Oryctolagus cuniculus: one gene and its partners. The protein of the gene in region 1 purifies or fractionates together with the protein of each later gene. This does not show direct contact. Links are inferred from orthologs where the notes say so. Each region holds a gene or a part of one and is shown in the gene's direction. Other genes may lie near its edges.

Region 1 (4,242 bases):
GCGAAAGAGTTTCTGGGCAGACACTAATGGTGCAAAGGTCCTGAGACCACAGGGTGGTGCCATGTTGGTGTTGGTGATATATTAAAAATGCCAGGATGGCCAGAGCTCCGGGAAGTGACAGAGTGATAGGAAGTGAGGTTTGAGAGCTAAAAGGAAGCCAGCTCATGCAGAGCCTCGCAGGTCATTGTAGAGGCTCAGCTCCCACTTGGATGAAATGGAAAGCCATTGCAGGATTTCCAGAGAAGGAAAAAACACCATCGGACTTGTTTTGAAAGGATCGCTCTGACTGCTGTGTGAAGACCCAACTGCAGGGGGCCGAGGGTGGCCGCTGGGAGACCAGTAAAGAGGCCATTGAGGAAATCCAGGCTAAGGAGGCCAGTGGCTGGAACCAGGGTGGCAGCCGTGGCGGGGGCTTGCCTGCATGTCCCGCTGTAAAAATGGAGCTTAGGGTCCCTCTCTGTGTGCTGCTCAAAGCCCCAAGGAGCCCCCGTAGAGAAGGAGTCTTGGGAACCTCGAGCCAGCGGGGTGCCAGTGGGAGCAATGTTGAATTGGGGGGTGCATAGGCAGCTCCCTGCACCTGCCAGCCCTTGGTGCCCAGGAGAAAGCCAGGGCAGGTGCGCGCCCCGCCCCTCCTCGTGACGCACGTCAGGAAGGCGAGAGTCCGTGGAGGGAGCGAGGTAGCCGCCTCGCTCTCACTCCCCAGGGACTGGACAGGGAGAAATGCGGAAATTCGCCTTCTCCGAGCCCCGGAACGGGTCTTGGATGCCCCGCACTGCGTGCGCCCCGGTGTCCGACCCGCTCGGCGTGCGCAGCTGTGGGCATGGTGCAGGGAATGTCACAGCACCCCTCCGCACACCGCCCCCCCCCACACCCCCGTTCTGACCCTTTGTCTCACTGGCCCTTACCCCAGTCTGTCTGCCAGTCTGTCCCCCTCCAGGTTGGGTGCGCACGGCCAGGCGGGGATCCCTCTGGCTGTTGCCGTAGCCGCACAGCCCCGACCCGGGGCTCCAGGGAGGAGAAAATCATGAATGAAATGGATGCGGTGCTCCCATGCCCCCGCCCTCCCGGTCCAGGCAACCTTGGCGTGGGGGCGGCGCCTGCGAGGACTCCGCACAGAGTTGCGGGGGTGGAGGTGGGGCTGAGACGAATTCAGGGGTTAGGGTCGGTGATCCGGCTCCCCTTGCCCCCCAGGCGCTGCTGGAGCTCCCCGCCCCCAGCCCCGCCGGCCCTGCGCAATTCCCGGGGAGCGGCGCAAGCCCGCCCGGAGGCGGGGCGGAGCCGGGGCTGGGGGGTGCGGAACCGACCCCGCGGCTGCGCCAGCGACTCCGCAGCTGAAGCGCATTTGGTGGGGCGGACGGGCGAGGGAGCGCGCACGGAGCGCGGGACGGACAGACGGACGGACGCCCCCGCACACGCAGACGCACAGAGCTCGGCCCCTGTCTCTCTCACACACACACACTCTCGCGCACACACAAGGACACACACACACACACACACGCAGACACACAAGCACCCGCGCGCGCACATCCTCCCGCCAGCCTGCCCGCCAGCTCGCCCGCCAGCTCGCCGGCGCCCGGAGCCCGCTCTGGCCGGTAAGTGCTGCGCCTCCGTCGGCGCCTTTGTGTGGGGCGCCCGAAGGCGGGGGGCGCGGGATCCTCCTAGGGTAGCCTGGCAGCTGAGACCTCCTCCAGCCCTCCGGGGCTTGGAGCCGGCGTCCGCCCCCGCCACGCCCCCACGGGGTTCCCGGCGCCCCCGGACTGGGGGAGGGGCCCCCCACGCTGGAGAGGTGGCCCGGCCCCTGGAAGCCCGGAGGGAGCGGCAGCCACTCCCCACGAAGCTCTTGCGCTGTTCCAGGGAGGGACTAGCGTGACGGTCCAGGGTCCGAGCCTCTGCGGCCCTGGGTAGTGCGCGGCTCTGGGCTGCATCGCCTCTCGAGTCTGAACCCCGGGATGGGGAGGGGGGACCTAGAAATCGCTAGCCTGCTGGCCTCCCCAAGCCGCAGCTCCCCCGCCGCCGCCACCACCATTGCTTCGCCTCCCCCAACCCTTTAGCTTTGGCCACTCGCATCCCACCCACTCCCAAAATAAAAGCCCTGTGCGTCCCCCTCCCCCAGCATGCCGCTTTTTTTCCTGGGGAAGGCCCAGGCTCCTGCAAAACCCGGGAGAATGCCCAGGAGCCTTGGGGGGCTTACGTTTTTCCAGGATCACGTGGCTGAGAGGGCCCAGGACCTTAAAAACCTCAGGAACCCATTTCGTCCCTTTATTTCACATATAGAGAAACTGAGGCCAGATGAGGTGGCTTAACCAAGGTCACAGGAGAATTAGTCACAAAGCCTGCATTGTGGTCGCTGGCTTTCATACTCACAGCCCCCCCCCCCCTCCCGCGCGCACAGGTCTACAGTTAGATCTGATCCCCATTGAAACCCCACAAGCCCAGAATTTACCACAGTGTAATTCCAGCCCTGCCCCCACCTGGAGCCAGGTGCCATTCATTTGCTTTTCTCTCCCTCTCTCTCTCTTTTTTTTTTTTTTTTTTTTAAAAAAAGGCCTTTGATTTGCCTCATTCAGCCTCAAAGAAGAACCGTCTTAGGTGCAGCCACTCCAGGTTTGGGACTTAGATTGAGAGAGTGAGGCAATCCTGGACCAGAGATGAGATTTTTCCCAGGAGCCATTGAGCTGGAGTGTCCTCACTGAGACCAGATGATGTGGCATCCAAAGATTCACCCTCTTCATCTGCCTGATGCCCTCCTGGTCACTCTCCCCTCCTCCTCAAGGGCCCAGTCTTTCTAACTGAACCAGACCCCTTTCGTCACGCCAGTCTGGATGTCCCCAAGTCCTTGTTGGCCGGCCACTTCTTCCTCTTGGTATCTGTTAAGTGTAGCCTCTGGGTATTGCTGACAAAGCTGCCGGGGGAAGCTGGGGTTGCAGGTGATGCCTCCGGGGCAGCTGCGAGCCCTCAGAGCTCAGCCCCATGCCTGGTGCAGAGACGTGGCCCTGGCAACTGTGTTGCCAGAGTTGGAGCAGAGCTGGATGCTGCTTGGGATCGCTGGCCCGGAGGGCAGTGTTCCGTCGGTGAGGGTCTGGGGTGCTTGTCTCAAGAACTTCTCCCTTGAGTGGGGAAAGCAGCAGAGCATGGAGCAGAGACTTGGTGACCACATGCCAAGCCCCCAGCAGCCGCTGCTGACACCCTAGCCCGTGCGTCCCTGCAGGACTCTGCTCCAGGAAGCGCCATTTCCACTGACTTCATAGTGAGTGCTGGGCCCTGGGTCTCTGCCATGCAGGGAAGCCCTTTTTTATCTAACTGGTGTGCGCCCAGTTTTCCTGTCCCACTCTGTGAGGCAGTAATTTCTGACTCAAGGAGATGATGCATGGAGAGTGTTTTTACAGTGCCTGACCATGGCCTAGAGAAAGCTCGGGGATTGGTGGCTGTTAATACCATTAGGGCCCTAGCTTGATGCCTATGGCCTGCACTTCTTCCCTTCTTCAGATCACCCAAGAATGTGCAATTTTAGGACCTCAAAGTCCTCCTCCCTCAAACAAGTCCCTCCCCCACTGACCTATTCCTGGACTTACTGCCCAGACTGCCTGAGACACCCGGCAGACCTCCCTGGAAGGAGCAGCACTTTTGTTTTTAAGTTTTTTGGCACCTTGGCATGATTGATTGAATAATTAATCTTTATGTGGTATCAAAGCTTTTCTTACACTCTGTCACTTATTCTTCTTAACACCCCCATGCTATCAATAGTATTACAACCCCATTTTTCAGATGGGGAAGTTGAGGCTGAGACTTTATCTCAGGGTGCATACCTTAAGGGTATCAGAATCAGAGGGATGGGCTTCCAGCTAAGAAGGTCTGAGTCCAGATTCTGAACTCTTTCCTCAACATCGTATTGCCTGTCCTTTCTCGAGGCTCACCCTAAAAGACAGGCAGATGACCCCTTGGAAGGAGTTGAGCCAGGAGGATTTGATTCTCATGGAGGATCGGGAGTGGTGCCTTGGAGACGGTAGGTACACTGGAGCTAGGTCTGAAAGATGTGTGCACTGGAAGGAAGGAGGAGTGTTTCAAGGAATGGAAATGGCTTGAGCAGACAGATGGGCAGTGAGGACTTCTAGGATGTATACAGAAACTGGAAAGCGCGTCATTCCAACCGCAGCCAAAAAGGATGAGCAGGAACACTGGCTAGGAGGGTAGAGGTGGTTGCTGGGAGCCTTGAGTCCAGAGCTAACGAGTCGATCTTTAGTA
Region 2 (4,409 bases), on another chromosome or scaffold:
AGAGAGAGACAGAGAGAAAGGTCTTCCTTTGCCGTTGGTTCACCCTCCAATGGCCGCCGCGGCCGGCGCGCTGCGGCCGGCGCACCGCGCTGATCCGATGGCAGGAGCCAGGAGCCAGGTGCTTTTCCTGGTCTCCTATGGGGTGCAGGGCCCAAGCACCTGGGCCATCCTCCACTGCACTCCCTGGCCACAGCAGAGGGCTGGCCTGGAAGAGGGGCAACCGGGACAGAATCCGGCGCCCCGACCGGGACTAGAACCCGGTGTGCCGGCGCCGCAAGGTGGAGGATTAGCCTACTGAGCCGCGGCGCCGGCCTCATCATCCTGTTTTTAAAAAGAGATGCAATGTCCTTTCAGAATCAAGAATAAGAATTAGGTGTTTTCAAAATTGGGTTCTGCTTCACGGACTAACATTTGAACTCACTTTTGGGTGTAGCACTTTTTTCCCCTTATGTAACACTATTTTTTTTCTCTCCCACAGGGCTTTTAACGCGCCAGACTGACTGGCTAATCTTTATTGATTTCCAGCCGTCTCGAATTAGCAGCTCTGAAGGCTATGAGGGGAGTCTGCCTTCTCACTTCCCTCTGCAGACGGCAAGGAAATGGTTCCGAGGCGGTGGCTGGCCCATCTTCCACCGCGTGGCCTGAGCTTCCTTGGCATCCGTCTGCTTCAAGATTGCAGTTTTTTAATTTTCAGCCTCTCATGTGTCTGTGACTATTGGTTTTAGCGATTCCACCCTGGTGTTTCCAGCTCAGTACGTTCTACGTCTCAAAGCTCATGTCCATCCGGCCTAACATGGGTCTCGGTCTCACAGTGGCAACTCGAGTCTTCCTCAGGTGTCTCAACCCACTCCTCTCTGCCCCTTACTCTGCTTGACATTTCTCCATAGAAAGTACCTCAGCCTGAGAAACCTCTCTCCGGAAGTTATCTTCTACGAGGGCGGATCTAAGGGCAGACCCACTCGGCCTCTCCTGTCTCACACGTTCTCAGTACTCAAATCTCTTCTTCGGTCTGGACCACGTATTCTGGTTCCTAACATAATCTCCACACCTCCTAAGTTGTTCAGAGCGTTTGGGCCCCAGAGGGCCCGAAGCCCACGTGTGCAGCGTCGTTCGTCTTCCCCCGCACTGCCCGAGCTCGCCGCCCGGCCCCAGCCCCGGCCCCTCAGGGTCAGCCCCGTGACGCCCCGTCTCCCCATTCCGCTCTCAGCGTCTCCTCAGCCGCCTCCCGCGCCGACTCACCAGCGAACGCACGTGACCGCGCCCTTCGGCGCCTCCTCCGCAGCCGCCGCCGCCGCCGCCGCCGCCGCCGCAGCGCTCCGCCCTGAGCTCGCCGCTTCCGCCGGCCCGCGCGGCCCCGCCCCCAGCCGCAGGCAGCCAATCCTCGAGCACGCTGCTCGGCCCCGCCCCGGCGCCCTGCTCGGCGCGCGCCCCTCCCTCCGCCCGCGGGCCCGCCCGTCAGTCAGTAAGTGAGACGGGCAGTCGAGGCGAGCGGACGTCGGCTCTCCGCTTCCCCGAAAGCGGCGCCGTCCTGCCTCTTTGGCGGTCAGCTGCGGCGGCTGCACGGACGGCGGCGCGGTCCCTTGGGGAAGCGCGGCGGGAGCGGAGCGGCGGCCGCGGAGCGTCGAGCCCAGCGCGGCGGCGGCGGCCCGGCAGCCAACATGGCGGCGGCGGCGGCGGCGGGCACGGGCCCGGAGATGGTCCGCGGGCAGGTGTTCGACGTGGGGCCGCGCTACACCAACCTCTCGTACATCGGCGAGGGCGCCTACGGCATGGTGTGGTGAGTGTCGGCGCCCGCCCCGCAGGCCTGGCCCGCTCCCCCGCCCGGGGCTGCAGCGGATGCGCCGCGGCCTCGCCCGCGTCTCGGCCTCCCGCGCAGCGGTCGACCCCAGTCCCGGGCTCCCTCGGGCAGGGCCCCGGCTCGAGGTTTAAGATGTCGCTGCTCGTGGCCGGTGGCCGGTCCCGGGCCGGGCCCTCGCTCGCCGCAGGGGGGCGGAGGCCGGGACCCGCGGACGCCCTGCACCGGATAGCCGCTGGGTTTCCAGCCCGGCTCCTCCACCCCACCCCCCAAGATTTCAGAAATGTAGATTGCAAGCCCAGATTCCCGATCCCCAGCCCAGGAGGGGAACGGAAGCATCCGTCGCGCCCCGGGGTGCTCGCGAAGCCGGGAATGCCGTCAGATGCATGGCCCTGGGCTTGGACGCGGTTGGACCCTGCGTGTGTGCGGAACGGCGGCCGGCTGTGCGTGAAGTGTCTGTCCCTCAGCGGTCGTTAGCTGGTGCTCGCCTGAGCAGGCCTTCCGAAAAAGCACCCAGGTCGGCAGTGTGGCTTGTATGAAGAATTCGTCTTGCAGTTTTTTTTTTTTTTTTAATGTTTAAACGGGCATGCATGTGTTACCGTGCGTTTCAGGAATAAGCAGCCGGCATCCCTCTTGGTTTATTAAATCTGCTTGCAGTTGGGCCCAATTTGCTCTTTTTTTTTTTTTTTTTTTCCTCTCCCTCTCTTCCCTCCTCTCAGGTGAGCTCCTAACCAGTATAGATGCATCCTGTCGTGTTGGCCCGAGGACCGAGGGTTTTGCTGTTGGTATTTTAGCGGTCAGTGTATACATTCCGCCTTTCGGGGACTTTTTTTGCACAGTCACACGCAAGGCTCCCTCGGAAGAGGCGCTTCGTGCAGAAGTAGATTCTCCTGCTTCTCAGTCTCATGAGTGTGTCTTTTCCTGATGAATGAAGTAACTGAGCACTAATTTGTGGACTGCTTCGTGCCCCTTACTGTGTGCCACATCCGTATTTTATTTGAACAGCCCCCCCACCCCACCCCAAAGGAAAAGCTGGTAATATCCCTCTGTTAGGTGCCAATTTTCTAAGGTCATAGAAGAAAGTGTCAGTCTTGAGATTGAAGCCTGAGATCTTTGTGGTACACCCAGCGTCCCTTAAAATAGCATCAGTGATAATTTCGGGATTTTTAGCCTCTTTTACTGCTGTGTGCGAGTCTGTTTAAGAAACGTATGCAAATCTGAGTGATGATGACTTCAGAAATGCCATGGAGCACTTGCTTTACCAATCACCTTGACTAGATAGAAGTAGTTGGAATTATTTTTGAATAATTGAATCCTGCATGTTTTCGTTTGCTTTAGGAGCGAATTGCTCCCCAGTATACAGCTGTGAAAATTAGCATGACTTCCCCCCACCCCCACCCCCACCCCCACCCCCACCCCAGCTAAGAAGTGAAAAGAGAAATTAGGTCAGGCCTGAAAGAAATTAGGCTCTGAAAAAGTACTGGAGGCCGGCGCCACGGCTCACTAGGCTAATCCTCCACCTGCGGTACCGGCACCCCAGGTTCTAGTCCCGGTCGGGGCACCGGATTCTGTCCCAGTTGCCCCTCTTCCAGGTCAACTCTCTGCTGTGGCCCGGGAGTGCAGTGGAGGATGGCCCAAGTGCTTGGGCCCTGCACCCCATGGGAGACCAGGAGAAGCACCTGGCTCCTGCCATCAGATCAGCGCGGTGCGCCGGCCGCGCCGGCCATTGGAGGGTGAACCAACGGCAAAAAGAAGACCTTTCTCTCTGTCTCTCTCTCTCACTGTCCACTCTGCCTGTCAAAAAATTAAAATAATTTAAAAAATAAAGAAAGTACTGCCCCTGGTATCCCTTCTGTGTCACACGTGTTATTGTTGTCATGCCTGCTGGTGAGTACACCAGTGACTATCTCATGAGAGGCTCAGGATTGCCCGTCATGCCCTTTGACACCCCTCCCCCCTTTAATTATATAAAATATGAACTGAAAAAAAATCTTTAGGATATGTCAGTTGAAAGCATTTTTTTCCCTTAGCTGATGAGATTTTTTTCTTTAATCTGAGGGTGATGTCGATTTAGAAGCTGTTTCTGTCACTGCTGTAGACTAATCCAACCTCTGTCTCCAGTTGAAGTGCTAACTTCTCTTGCTGTAATTTTCTCTTTTGAAATAAAACAAATATAATTGACATTTGAATCGTGGGCCCAGATTACAGATTATTGCAAGTTGGTGATACAACCTGCCGTTAATCTATACTGCACATTGTTTGGCTTTTGATAAATACAGTGCTGGGGTTATGGAGGACTTCGTGGTTAAATTTTTTATTTATTTATTTATTTTTTTTTTTGACAGGCAGAGTGGACAGTGAGAGAGAGAGAGAGACAGAGAGAAAGGTCTTCCTTTTTGCCATTGGTTCACCCTCCAATGGCTGCCGTGGCCGGCGCACCACGGCCGGTGCACTGCGCTAATCCGAAGCCAGGTGCCTCTCCTGGTCTCCCGTGGGGTGCAGGGCCCAAGCACTTGGGCCATCCTCCACTGCACTCCCGGGCCACAGCAGAGAGCTGGCCTGGAAGAGGGGCAACCGGGACAGAATCTGGCGCCCCGACCGGGACTAGAACCCG
Region 3 (4,450 bases), on another chromosome or scaffold:
CACCACGTCACGCCCCAGCTGCGTCATTGTGTCGCTGACCTCACCCAAGTTAACCCAGCTCTCAGATTCTCCAGCTGCAAAATCTGACTCTGGTTCAAATCTCCACTGCTCCTCTTCCGACCCAGCTCCCTGCTGTGGCCTGGGAAAGCAATAGAAGATGGTCCAAGTGCTTGGGTCCCTGCACTCACATGGGAGACCTGGAAGAAGCTCCTGGCTTCCACCTGGCCCAGCTCTGGCCATTGGGGCCATTTGAGGCGTGAAGCAGTGGATGGAAGATCTCTCTCTGTGTGTAACTCTGCCTTTCAAATAAAAAGGAAATATATTTTTAAAATTTGATTCATTCATCAAAAAGAAAATTTTTTTAATGTTTCAGTGCCAGGCATGGGGGTGGGAGGTGGGGATCCAGTGAGGAACAAGATTGACCTTGGCCCCTCTCAGCCTACTGAGAGAATCAGGAAGATGACAACCCTCTTGTGAGTTCAATTTTGCCAAATCCAACAAGCTGGATTTTTCTTTTTAAGATTAATTGATTAATTACTTTAAAAGAGTTACAGAGAAGGAGAGGCAGAGAGAGAGAAAGTCAATCTTCCATCTCCTGATTCAGTCCCCAAATGGCCCCAATAACCAGAGCTGGGCCAGGCGGGAGCCAGGAGACTCATCTGGATGGGCCCACATGGACGCAGGGGCCCAAGCACTTTGGCTGTCTTTGGCTGCTTTCTCAGGCCATTAGCAGGGAGCGGGATTGGAAGTGGAGCAGCCGAGATGCATATCGGATGCACCTGCTATGTCACAGCGCCGCCCCAGATTCTTTCCTTCTTCAAGTGTATTTTAACGAAACCTGCCCACCTGGCACGCACGTGGGGGCAACAGCTGGCCCTGCTGCAGCTGCTGGGAGGGCCAGGGCCTGGACCCCACGCCGGCAGCAGCACCTCGGGCTTCGGCCTCACCCTTAAACGGCAGGTGGGTCTCCACGCGGCTCTGATTTCAAGTACACTCCCTCGGCAGCCGAGCAGAGCTGGCTCAAGGAGGCCAAACCACCAAGGGCCGAGAGGACCCCCAGGGGGCTCCCACAGGAGCAGCTCTGGTCCCAGAAGGCCAGGCACTCCGGGGTGGGGGGCGTCCGGCCCCAGCACACCTTGGCCGGGTGGCCCTGGGGAAGTCACCCGCCAGCTGCCTAGAAATCGAGGGGGTATGGACCGCGCCTACAGCCGCCCGGCGCGCCCGCTCCCAGCACACGGAAGCCCGCAGCGACCAAGCACCGCTGCCCGGCGGCGGGAAAGCCGGACGCGCGCGGGGAGGGCCACGTGACGTCCGCGGGCGCGCGCCCCGGCTCCGCGGCGCGCGCAGGGCGCGGGGGCGCGGGGGCGCGCGGGGGCGGCGCGCGGGGGCGGGGCCTGGCGCGCGCGGCCCCGCGGGCGGGAAGGGGCGGGGCCTCGGGCGGGGCCGCCGTGGGGAGGGCGGGCGGGAGGGGAGGAGTGGAGATGGCGGCGGCGGCGGCGGCTCAGGGGGGCGGGGGCGGGGAGCCCCGGGGAGCCGATGGGGTCGGCCCGGGGGTCCCCGGGGAAGTGGAGGTCGTGAAGGGGCAGCCGTTCGACGTGGGCCCACGCTACACGCAGCTGCAGTACATCGGCGAGGGCGCGTACGGCATGGTCAGGTGAGGGGGCGTTCCGGGGGAGGGGGCGGCCTCAAGGGAGGGGGCAACCCCGGAGGAGGGGGCGGAGGAGGGCTGCAGGGGGCTCGTTGGGCCGTGGAGACTTGGAGTGGCCTGTAGAACCTGGGCACTCTGGAGGCTTGGTGGAGTATGCCCGGGATAGGAGCCCTGGGGTGCTTTCTGGGGGAGGGGGCGCTGCCCATGTTCCTAGGGGAGGGGGCTTGGAGGCTTTGAACGGGAGCCCTCCGCCCCGAAGGGAGCAGCGGTATTTGGGTGTCTGGGGTTGAGGGAGCGGTGGCCCTAGAGACCCGCGTGGGGCGACGAGAATCAGTAGTCTTGGTGAACGAGGACCCTCTTTTGAGAGAGGGGACCTTAGGGTGCCTTGGAGTCCCCAAGCGAGGCTGTGCCCAGGAGTGGAGCGGCACAGGCAGGGCTCTGGGTGGGGCGAGGCTTCGGGCCTCCGGGCCTGAGGAGAGGTGGGGAGTGCCTGCTTGCCTGCATCTTGGGGAGGGGTCTGGGAGCTGGCCCAGCCCTACTGTGTGCTTTGGGCCTTTGCACCGACCGGAAGTTGCTCTGCTGTCCTCGGCCCAGACCCGCCCCTCGGTCCCGCTCCCTGGCCCTGTGGTGGGTTGAGGCAGCCCATGGTGGGGAGGGAGGCCCGGGCTTGGGCAGAATGGAAGGGGGTCAAGCAGAGGGGAAGTCAGCGAGTGGCCAGTCTTCCTCTGTTTGTGAAGTCACCGAAAGGCGGCCTGGCTGGTCCCCAGCTTTCTCCCTGGAGAGCCCAGGCCTTCACAGCAGGAAGGAACGAGCATTGTTTATAACTTGGCCAGAGCCCTCTCCTGCTCTGTCCCCTCCCTCCCTGCCCCTGGCCTGGGTGGGGCCCGCTGGGCCTGGTTCCCGCTCCCCCCCCCCCATCACCACCACCATCATGGCCACACCAGCAGCGACGTCTCTCTGGGCCTCTCAGCTCAGCCTATGACCACGTGCGCAAGACCCGCGTGGCCATCAAGAAGATCAGTCCCTTCGAACACCAGACCTACTGCCAGCGCACGCTGAGGGAGATCCAGATCCTGCTACGCTTCTCCCATGAGAACGTCATCGGCATCCGGGACATTCTTCGGGCTCCCACCCTGGAAGCCATGAGGGATGTGTATCCTACCCCTGGGCCTCCAGAGCTGGGCTCCCCCCTGCCCTGCCACCCTCCCAAATGAAGGCAGTGACAGGCCAGAGGCCCCTCCCCCCCTGACCTGCGGCTGTCAGGCAGGGGGACCTTGGACAGGTCCCTTCTTTGCCCCAAGCCTCCATGGGGAGCCTGGGCGCCAAGGTCTCTTTGGGCTCTTTGTTTTCTGCTGTCTGCAGTTATGTGACCTGCTCTGCCCACGGTCACTTCTTGCTGAACAGACTGGTGATTCTTTCTCTCTGGATCCCCAGACTGGAAAGACAGCAGGGAGGAAGAAAACTGCTTTTTCTTGAGGGCCTACTGCGTGTCAGGTGCTACCCCTGCCTTTGGGTCCCAAGGATGAGGGGACTGAGGCCCGGAACAGCCCCCAAGCAGGTGTCTCTGTGGCTGCCTCACCCCTCCCCCACGCGGGAGCTGGTCCTTATCTTTCTCTGGGACTTCCTGCTCAGAGCCTCGCCCTGGTCACCCGCGCACCTGCCCCTTGCCCAGGGAGGGACAGCTTAGCCTTAATGCCCTCCCCCAAGAGTGCTTTTCTTGCTCCTTGTCCACTTCCGGCCTGGCTCAACCTGGCCTTGCGACACACGTCGCCTCCTCGCCACCCACCCATACCACCTGCTGGTCCCAGTCCAGTCCTCCATCCAAGGGTGGGGATTTGGGTGCCATGGCCAGAGCCCTGCCACAGACCAGGGACGGGAGATTTCCATACTCACCCAGCTTGCCGTGTGACCTGGGGCAAGTCACTGCATTTCCCTTTGAGAGAACACAGGAGATCTAGGCCGGGCCAGATGTTCTCTGAGCAGGTGTGCTGTGGGGGGTGTCTCCTCTCTCATTGTCCTCCCACAAACAGGCAGGCATTTTATTTTCATGCAAAAAAATCAAAATACTTGGATAATTTTTTTTTAAGATTTATTTATTTGGAAGGCAGAATTAGAGAGAGAGAGAGGTCTTCTATCTGCTGGTTCACTCCCCAAATGGCCACAATGACCAGGGCTGGGCCAGGCTGGGCCAAGAGCCAGGAGCTTCCTCTGGGTCTCCCACATGGGTACAGGGGCCCAACCTTTTGGGCCATCTTCTACTGCTGTCTCAGGCACGTTAACAGGGAGCTGGATCAGAGGTGGAGCAGCCGGGACCCGAACCAGTGCCCGTATGGGATGCTGGTGTTGCAGGCGGCAGCATTACCCGCTATGCCACAGCGCCAGCCCCCCAGGAGCTTTTTGAAGACCCCTTGAATTAGTGGACTTTGACGGGGTTTTTTGCACCAGAATCAATTTCAGTGATTTTTTTTTTTAAGTCCCCAGTGGAGATTTGAGGCATTACTGGGTGGACCCTGGAGCTGTCACTCTGAACCGGCATGTTCTCCGGCCCTGGACAGCTTGTTAGTAGCCCCATTTCCCAGGGCCGCAGGAGAGAATGCTCGGGGTCACCTGCCGGGGGTGTGAGAGGCCCTGTGCCCTGCTGCTGAGTTCAGCCCGGCTCTTGACAGGGGTTAGCAGATCTGCCGGGTCCCGGGGACCCCAGGTGAGGGGACGTGCGGGGACGTGCAGCCGCATCACCAGAACCTGATTTCCTTAACTGCGTGCCTCCCCCTGCCCCCTGCCCCCTGCCTGGGGGAGGGGCGG
Region 4 (4,363 bases), on another chromosome or scaffold:
TGGGAAGAGGAGGAGCCAAGGGATCGGGAAGGGGTTCAGTCAGGGAGCATAAAGTGACGAGACCGACGGGGCGGGCGAGCCAACTCCAGGGCGTCTGGAAGGAGTCCGCTTGCAAAGGGCACGAACTGCCTCTTGCCGGTGCCGTTCCACGCGGCCGTTCAAAGCAGAGGCGGGAGATAAGCTTCCAGGCACCGTCGTCAGCCACTCACTCTACCAATATTGACCGAGCGAGCGCCCGCGACGTGCGGGACCCCGCTGCGGGCGGCGGACCCAGCCCGGCCCGCGACCCGCGACTCTCTGCCTGCAGCCCCGCCTCCCGGGCGGCCCTGGCAGCAGCTCACCTGTTTCCCCGCCCGAGGCGGGAGTGCGGCGGGCGGCTCGGGTCTCCCAGGGCTCTGGCCTGGCTGGCAGCGCTGCCGACCCGGACGCCGGCGGTTCCCGAGCCGTTGCGGCCGAACCCGCGGGCGTTCGGGGCGGGCGGGCAACGAGAGCGGGGGCGAGGAAGGAGAACACGGCCGTGGGAGCCCTCGGCCCCTGTCCTGGGGTGGCCCTCAAAGGATCGGAGGACAAGATAGACTCCCATCCTTGCGCTCAGGGTAGCAGGCGTTAGCACGGGCCGGGCCAGCACCAGTAGGTATGGGCCTGGGGTTACAACACTTGCCCACTCGCGGGTATTTTCTTGTCCCTATGAGGTGGGAACGGAGGACCGGAGTTCTCTTGCAACTGAGCAGGGCCTACCGGCTTGCCTAAAAGCGACATTGCCACAAGCGCACTCCCTGCTCCTCCGCCTTCCTGGGAGAGCCCCCACTTAAAATCTCCAAGTCCTCTTCTCAGGACTGCTCTTGGGGCCGAAGTCGGTTTATAAGCTTCGGGGCCACGGCTTTTAAGACACATCAGAGCCACCTGTACGGCCCCGACCCCCGCAGAGGCCCCTGAGGGTCCCGGGGCGACCTTTGCACCCGTTCGGGTGCAAAGTCTCGGCTTCCAGCGGGGCTAATATTTGTCTTTGGGGCCGATTTCGTCAGCGTCCCGGAGGGTTAGCCATCTGTCCATGAGCACACGGGAATGCGACGGCCTTCTGACTGGAACCAGTTTTTGACGCCGGTATTTCTTGGAAACGGCGGAGTTCCACCGAGCAGGTGCTCGGCCGCAGTTCCAAGATCTGTTGGCTCTTTTCCCGACACGCTTACTCGTCCCCGTCGCTCTCCGCAGTGGTCAGGCACTACAGCCCCACCAACCACAGTGGGGCGCGCGCGGCCTGTGGTGCGCGAGCATCCCCGCCTTAGCCGTCCGCCTCGGCGCCCCGAAGAACAGTCCCCGGGAGTTCCTGCCTCTGGGCTCCAGCTGTTGCTCTCTTCTCGCGAGAACTGCTCCTCCGGCGCTCTCTCCTCCCGAACCCCCTCCCGCGGGGAGGTTCCATATTGGGTAAAATCTCGGCTCGCGGAGAGTCCCGGGAGCTGATCTCGCGAGAGGACGGCAGGCGGCTCCTGTTCGCTGGCTCTGGAACTGCGACCACTGGAGCCTCAGCTGGCGCTGCAACTGGAGCGGGAGTCCAGCGGCACGGCCCGCCGTCGGCCCGGCCCGGGAGAGGGTGCAGGGAGACCCCGGCGGGCGCAGCCCTCAGCCTCGGAGCGCGCTCCTGCCCTTTGCCGGGCTCGCCTCGGTCCCTGAGGCGCGTCCAGCAGCTGCAGCTGACAGGGGCCGCACGCGCGGGTGTCTGCGGGGGTCTCAGCAGCCGCACCTGCGCGGCGGCCAGCGCGAGGTCCCCGCCCGCCTGGGCGGGCGACGAGGGCCGGGGAGCGGGCGTGGGTGCAGGCGGGGGCACCTCAGGGCCACCTCCTCGCCCCGCGGCCGTCGCTGGAAAATGTCTCAGGAGAGGCCCACGTTCTATCGGCAGGAGCTGAACAAGACAATCTGGGAGGTGCCCGAGCGTTACCAGAATCTGTCCCCGGTGGGCTCTGGCGCCTATGGCTCCGTGTGGTGAGTGTTGCTAGGCCCGGGGCCGCGGTGGGTAGGGTGGCCCCTGGTGCCCGAGGGCCAGGCCTGCCCCCGCGGCTCCGCTATGCGCCCAGCGGCAGGAATTTCCCCCGAGGGAGAGCATGGCTGTCCCTGCACCCCCTGCATCCCGCAGCCTGCACGCCCAGGGCGGTGGTCCATTGCGTGCAGGCGCAGGTCCGCTGTGGGCGGTAGGTGGTGGTGCTGGCTGGAGCTCGCTCCTGGCGCACGCCCTGCGCTTTCGTTTCGCTGAGCGCTGCTCCCCCCCGGGGGGCAGGCCCTGGGGGAGGGGCGGCTGTTCTGCGGGGAGCTGGGGAGGGGGGTCCCTACGAACACTTTGCAGAAGGACCCTCTCCCGGGGGTGCACCCGTCCCGGGGGCGCGGACGACCCGGGGAGCTGCGGGAGAAAGCAGAACCCGGTTGGGAGATCGGGTGGTCTGAACAAAACTGACGACGAAGGTAGCCCCCTCCAGGCTTTTCTTTCTTTCCTTCTTTTTTGCAAACCTCTGTGGAAATCCCGTCTGGAGAAGCGTTCTTTTTGAATTCGCAGCGACCCATAGGGCTTAAAATATCGGCTTTATCTCGGCGAGCCCTGTGCCAGCTTGAGTGGTGTGTTTCCGATTCGGTCGAGAGCGTGTTTCCTTTCCGTGGAGGGCGGCGGTGGTGGCTGCCGCTTGAGAAACTGGCGGCCTGGCTGATTAGTCACATACCACTGCTCATTTAAAGTATTGTTTGACGAAGCAGGGTTCTCACGGGGAGCAGGGGAGCCTCGGATCCCTCCGCCGCGTGCCCTCGAAACCCAAAAGTCGCTCACGGTGCAGGGAGCTACTGTGAATATTTGAAAGTTGAGATAATTCCTGTGAATCGTGTATTTTTAAGGCCCCTTGGAGAGTGTGCAGAGACCTTATCTGTGGCTATGGCCTGAGATACACTTGGTTTTCGTTAGGATCGGGAACTTCCAGGAGAAGAAAGTTAGACACCGGCCAGCTGTCCTTTACAAGGTGCCTGTATTTAAGTTGACACCAGGACATTTCCAGACCTGAAGTATTTCACTGACTTCTCTAACTTCCAAGGCCTTAGACACTGTATTTTATACTTAGTATCTTTTGAGAGCTCCTGATCTGAAACTAAGTGTCCGGCTTCATAGTAAGCTTTTTCCTGTTTTATCAATTCCTGGGCATGCATGGGTGGAAAAGGAGCTAGGAAAATGCTTTTTTTGTTTTGTTTTGTTCGGAACAAATTCCAGGCTTTTGGATTTGTTCATCTTTAAATATGATTCCCGTGTTTCTTAAAATCACATCATGAATTTCCTGTTTGGTAGAATCTTCTGGGTAATTGAGATTGTGCAATTGTGTCCAGCAACAGATCGTATTGCATTTTCTAGTTCAAGCCGCTTGAGTAATGCTGCAGGTGTCACCGTGGCTGACATCTTTCTCCCACTTTTACGCTGTGGCAGTTAACCTTTTCAAGGAATTTGAAGCTTTTTTAGTTAGTATATATACTAGTTATTGATTTGCTAATTTTCAGAGGTGTATTTAGATAATTGCTCCTTTAAAATTTAAGGACTCTGTGGCCAGCGCTGTGGTGCTGTTATCCCACATGTGCGCAGACTTGAGTCCTGGTGGCTCCACTTCTGATCCAGCTCTCTACTGTGGCCTGGGAAAGCAATGGAAGATGGCCCAAGTCCTTGGGCCCCTGCACCCAGGTGGGAGATCCAGAGGAGACTCCTGGCTCCTGGCTTCAAATCAGCCCAGCTCTGGCCTTTACAGCAGATGAAAGACCTTTCTCTATGTCTCTCTTCTCTCTGTCTGTAACTCTATCACTCAAATAAAATCTTTGAAAAAAAAATTTATGGGCTCATTAATATACCTCCATTTTTCATTCTTTTTAAGGTTTTATTTATTTATTTGAGAGGTAGAGTTACAGGCAGTTGAAAGGGAGAGATGGAGAGATAGGTCTTCAATCCGCCAGTTCACTCCCCAAATGGTCACAACCGCTGGAGGTGGGCCAATCTGAAGCCAGGAGCCAGGAGCTTCTTCTAGATCTCCCACATGAGTACAGGTGCTTAAAAATTGAGCCATTTTCTACTGCTTTCCCAGGCCTCAACAGAGAACTGGATCGGAAGAGGAGCAGCCGAGAATCAAACTGCCGGGACTCAAACTGGCACCCATATGGAGATTTAACCTACTGCACCACAGTGCCACCCCCTCCATTTTCCATTTTTTTTAAAAAAAATTATGTATTTGAAAGGCAGAGTTAGAGGGAGAGAGAGAGAGAGAAAGCTTCTCCCTGGTTCACTCCTCAAATGGCTGTAACAACCAGGGCTGGGTTAGGCTGAAGTCAGGCACCTGGAACTTCATCCTGGTCT
Region 5 (3,086 bases), on another chromosome or scaffold:
CATTTCATAATTCACTGGTGACCACGAGACGATCCGCGGGAGGTGGGAGTGACTGTCCTCACTTTACAGACGCTGGAATGGAGTCGCTTGCCCCGGGCTTGCGCAAGGCGGGACAGGATTCAGACCCGGGCCTCTCTGTCTCTGCCTGCAACCCTATCCTAGCCACTAGACCACCAGGGACACACGATATCTGCATTCCTTGCTGCACCCCGTCTCCTCTCCAGAGACAGTTCTGTGGTCTTAGCTGCGTGTTTCCTTGCTGGCGCCCCTGCGGCATAAGCATCGGCGCAGGGTGCTGGGGTTACCTGGAGTCCCCAGCCCCGCCTCATCTAGACTCGTGGTTCCAGCGTGGCCCAAGGTGGCTTATTTTTTGCAGGAGCTTCTTAGAACCAACTGTTAGCTCTGTAAACTTCCGGGAGTTGGGGGGGGGAAGCACACCCAATCAGTCACTGAGGACGCGGGCTTTGGAAGTGCACGCGCTGAGCGGCCTCAGGCAAGTCCCCAGCCACCCGGACGGCCGGTTCCTGTGTGGTGTGGGCATACAGTCGCTGTCCTGACGAAGGCACTCGGGTGCCAGTGCCCCTGGTCCTGGGCTGGAGGAGGCAAAGCCTAGGCGGAGCGCGTTTTCATGGAGCCCCGACCGACTCCCCGCCACCACCCGGCAGACGACGCTGTTAGATCAGTTGCTGGCGTGGGCAGCCTTTCCCGTGCTCAGCTAACCAACCAGGAGCGAGTGTCGGGGCTGAGCGGAGAGGACGCAGCGTGCAGGACAGAGCCAGCCCCAGGGTCTCCCCGAGCGGTTCTCGCGGCAGGGTGGCGGCGGGCCGGAGCTTCAGGGGGCCAGGGAGCCGTGGACCTGACTGGGAAGCCGAAGACTAGAGCCAGGTTAAGCAGCGCGTCATCCCCTCGGGGAGCCCGGAGGAGCGCCATGGCCCCAGTGCAGGCAGACGTGCGTCAGCAGGCCGTGGCGGCCTCGGGGGCTCCTCTCAGGACAGGCGGGAGTGCGTGCGTGGGCACTGGTGCCGCAGCCGAGTTGCCCGGCTGTGCTCAGGAGGCGGGGCCCCTCTGACCTGACCAGCAGCACAGGGGCAGTGGGTGTGCGTCCCCACCCGGGGCCTGGGTGAGACGGGGTTCGCGAGCCGGGCATGGCTCTGTGCCGTCGCGTCTCCTTCCTTGGTTGAAGGCTGCTGTCCCACGTTTCAGCCTCTAGAGGAAGCCACTCTCTCCGAGCTGAAGACGGTCCTGAAGAGCTTCCTCAGCCAAGGCCAGGTGCTGAAGCTGGAGGTCAAGGTAGGTCTTCAGTTGTCCGCTGTCTGGGACCTTTTCCAGGTGACTCGAGACGTAAAATGGCTTGAGGGAGTCTTAGAGAACAATTTTTTAAAGAAAGCTTTTATTTAATAAATATAAATTTCCTAGGTACAGCTTTCGGATTCTAGCGGTTCTTCCCCCATACCCGCCCTTCCGCCCCCACTCCCGTCCCACCTCCTGCTCTCCCATCCCATTCTTCACTAGGATTCATTTTTAATTACACAGAAGACCAACTCTGTACTAAGTAAAGACTTCAACAGTTTGCACCCACACAGACACACAAAGTATAAAGTACTGTTTGAGTAGTAGTTTTACCATTAATTCTCATAGTGCAACTCATTAAGGACAGAGATCCTACATGGGGAGTAGGTGCACAGCGACTCCTGTTGTTGATTTAGCAATTGACACTCTTATTTATGATGTCAGTAATCACCCGAGGCTCTTGTCATGAGCTGCCAAGGCTATGGAAGCCTCTTGAGTGCACAAACTCCGACCACAGACAAGGCCATAGTCAAAGTGGAAGTTCTCCCTTCAGAGAAAGGTACCTCCTTCTTTGATGGCCCCTTGTTTTCACTGGGATCTCACTCACAGAGATCTTTCATTTAGGTTGGTTTTTTTGTTTGTTTGTTTGTTTGTTTTTTGCCACAGTGTCTTGGCTTTCCAAGCCTGAGAAACTTATGGGCTTTTTAGCCGGATCTGAATGCTGCAAGGGCTGATTCTGAGGCCAGAGTGTAGCGAACATTAAATCAGATTCTGAAGAATGAATGTTAACTTAGTTGTCAGTGTAGACGACCTGCTTCCGGGCAGCTTCGCGCTGGCCTTTCTCCAGAAGCGGTTGTGCTGTGTGCTTAGCACTCTCTCGCCTGCCCGCGTGGCTGCTGAGCCAAGGCCGTGCACTGTCATACTCTGACGTGTTTCCTCCCCTAGACGGACCCGTCGATCATGGGTGGGATGATTGTCCGCATTGGAGAGAAGTACGTCGATATGTCTGCAAAAACCAAGATTCAGAAGCTGAGCAAGGCCATGCGAGAGATTATGTGAGCCGTGGTTTTCTGTCGGTGGAAACCCTGGCGCTTGGAGCAACAATAAAGCGCTTTCTGAACAGCCCGTGTCGCTGACCGTCTCCGCGGAGCCCAGGGCCTTGGTCTGTGTCTGTCTTCCAGTAGCCCCTGGTGTGCAGGTCCTGTTGGCCGCAGAGTGGGTCAGTGCGGGTTATTCTTGGGAATTGGGTAAACACGCATGCTGCACCCGCTCCCTCAACAAAGTGCAGCTGGGCCTTAGGGCGGGTGCAACTCCGCATCCCTGGCGACCACCAGGCGGCTCTTGCCCTGCCTGCTCTCGCTGAAACGCCCTTGACCCTGAACTAACACAGCTGCCAGTCGGCTGCTCTCCGCCTTCATCTCCGGTAGGCTTTGCGACAGCCTTGTGACCGCCCACCGCATCACCGCCTTCACACGGGAGAGCACGAGTATGCCCAGGTTCGCAGGCCTCGAGCTGCTGGGTCAGGGTCAGGGGTCAGGCCGTGGCATGCTGGTCCACTGTCACTCACGCTGCGTCCTGTCCTGATGAAGCTGGGGGCAGAGGAATCTTAGGCACGTCCTGTGCCCCTGTGACTTGAGATGCTGCCAGAGAAATCAAGTTCCCCAGGCAGCAGCTTTGGGCACCCACTCCCTGGTCGCTCTCCAAGAGGGCTGGCAGCTGGTTCTTTCCCAGAGCTGCTGTTGGGCGGGGGGAGAGGACCACGCTGGGACGACCCCCTGGGCAGTGAGGCATGCAGC

What was found.
Region 2: the proteins of PTPN5 (region 1) and MAPK1 purify together in Homo sapiens (affinity purification with mass spectrometry; 4 studies listed by BioGRID and IntAct, with this or other methods). This does not show direct contact. The link is inferred for Oryctolagus cuniculus from reciprocal best matches to the Homo sapiens genes PTPN5 and MAPK1.
Region 3: the proteins of PTPN5 (region 1) and MAPK3 purify together in Homo sapiens (affinity purification with mass spectrometry; 4 studies listed by BioGRID and IntAct, with this or other methods). This does not show direct contact. The link is inferred for Oryctolagus cuniculus from reciprocal best matches to the Homo sapiens genes PTPN5 and MAPK3.
Region 4: the proteins of PTPN5 (region 1) and MAPK14 purify together in Homo sapiens (affinity purification with mass spectrometry; 3 studies listed by BioGRID and IntAct, with this or other methods). This does not show direct contact. The link is inferred for Oryctolagus cuniculus from reciprocal best matches to the Homo sapiens genes PTPN5 and MAPK14.
Region 5: the proteins of PTPN5 (region 1) and ATP5PO purify together in Homo sapiens (affinity purification with mass spectrometry; 3 studies listed by BioGRID and IntAct, with this or other methods). This does not show direct contact. The link is inferred for Oryctolagus cuniculus from reciprocal best matches to the Homo sapiens genes PTPN5 and ATP5PO.

Annotation. Positions count from the first base shown.
Region 1 is NC_091432.1:47,657,942-47,662,183, forward strand, and holds the start of PTPN5 (tyrosine-protein phosphatase non-receptor type 5), read left to right. Parts: upstream 1-1,144; 5' UTR 1,145-1,592; intron 1,593-4,242. UniProt on the Homo sapiens protein: May regulate the activity of several effector molecules involved in synaptic plasticity and neuronal cell survival, including MAPKs, Src family kinases and NMDA receptors.
Region 2 is NC_091452.1:28,976,233-28,980,641, forward strand, and holds the start of MAPK1 (mitogen-activated protein kinase 1), read left to right. Parts: upstream 1-1,519; 5' UTR 1,520-1,658; coding exon 1,659-1,777; intron 1,778-4,409. UniProt on the Homo sapiens protein: Serine/threonine kinase which acts as an essential component of the MAP kinase signal transduction pathway. MAPK1/ERK2 and MAPK3/ERK1 are the 2 MAPKs which play an important role in the MAPK/ERK cascade.
Region 3 is NC_091450.1:7,472,555-7,477,004, reverse strand, and holds the start of MAPK3 (mitogen-activated protein kinase 3), read left to right. Parts: upstream 1-1,481; coding exon 1,482-1,654; intron 1,655-2,618; coding exon 2,619-2,801; intron 2,802-4,450.
Region 4 is NC_091436.1:133,478,911-133,483,273, reverse strand, and holds the start of MAPK14 (mitogen-activated protein kinase 14), read left to right. Parts: upstream 1-1,501; 5' UTR 1,502-1,864; coding exon 1,865-1,980; intron 1,981-2,572; exon of another isoform or gene 2,573-2,707; intron 2,708-4,363. UniProt on the Homo sapiens protein: Serine/threonine kinase which acts as an essential component of the MAP kinase signal transduction pathway.
Region 5 is NC_091435.1:11,127,018-11,130,103, forward strand, and holds the end of ATP5PO (ATP synthase subunit O, mitochondrial), read left to right. Parts: intron 1-1,203; coding exon 1,204-1,290; intron 1,291-2,235; coding exon 2,236-2,349; downstream 2,350-3,086. UniProt on the Homo sapiens protein: Subunit OSCP, of the mitochondrial membrane ATP synthase complex (F(1)F(0) ATP synthase or Complex V) that produces ATP from ADP in the presence of a proton gradient across the membrane which is generated by electron transport complexes of the respiratory chain.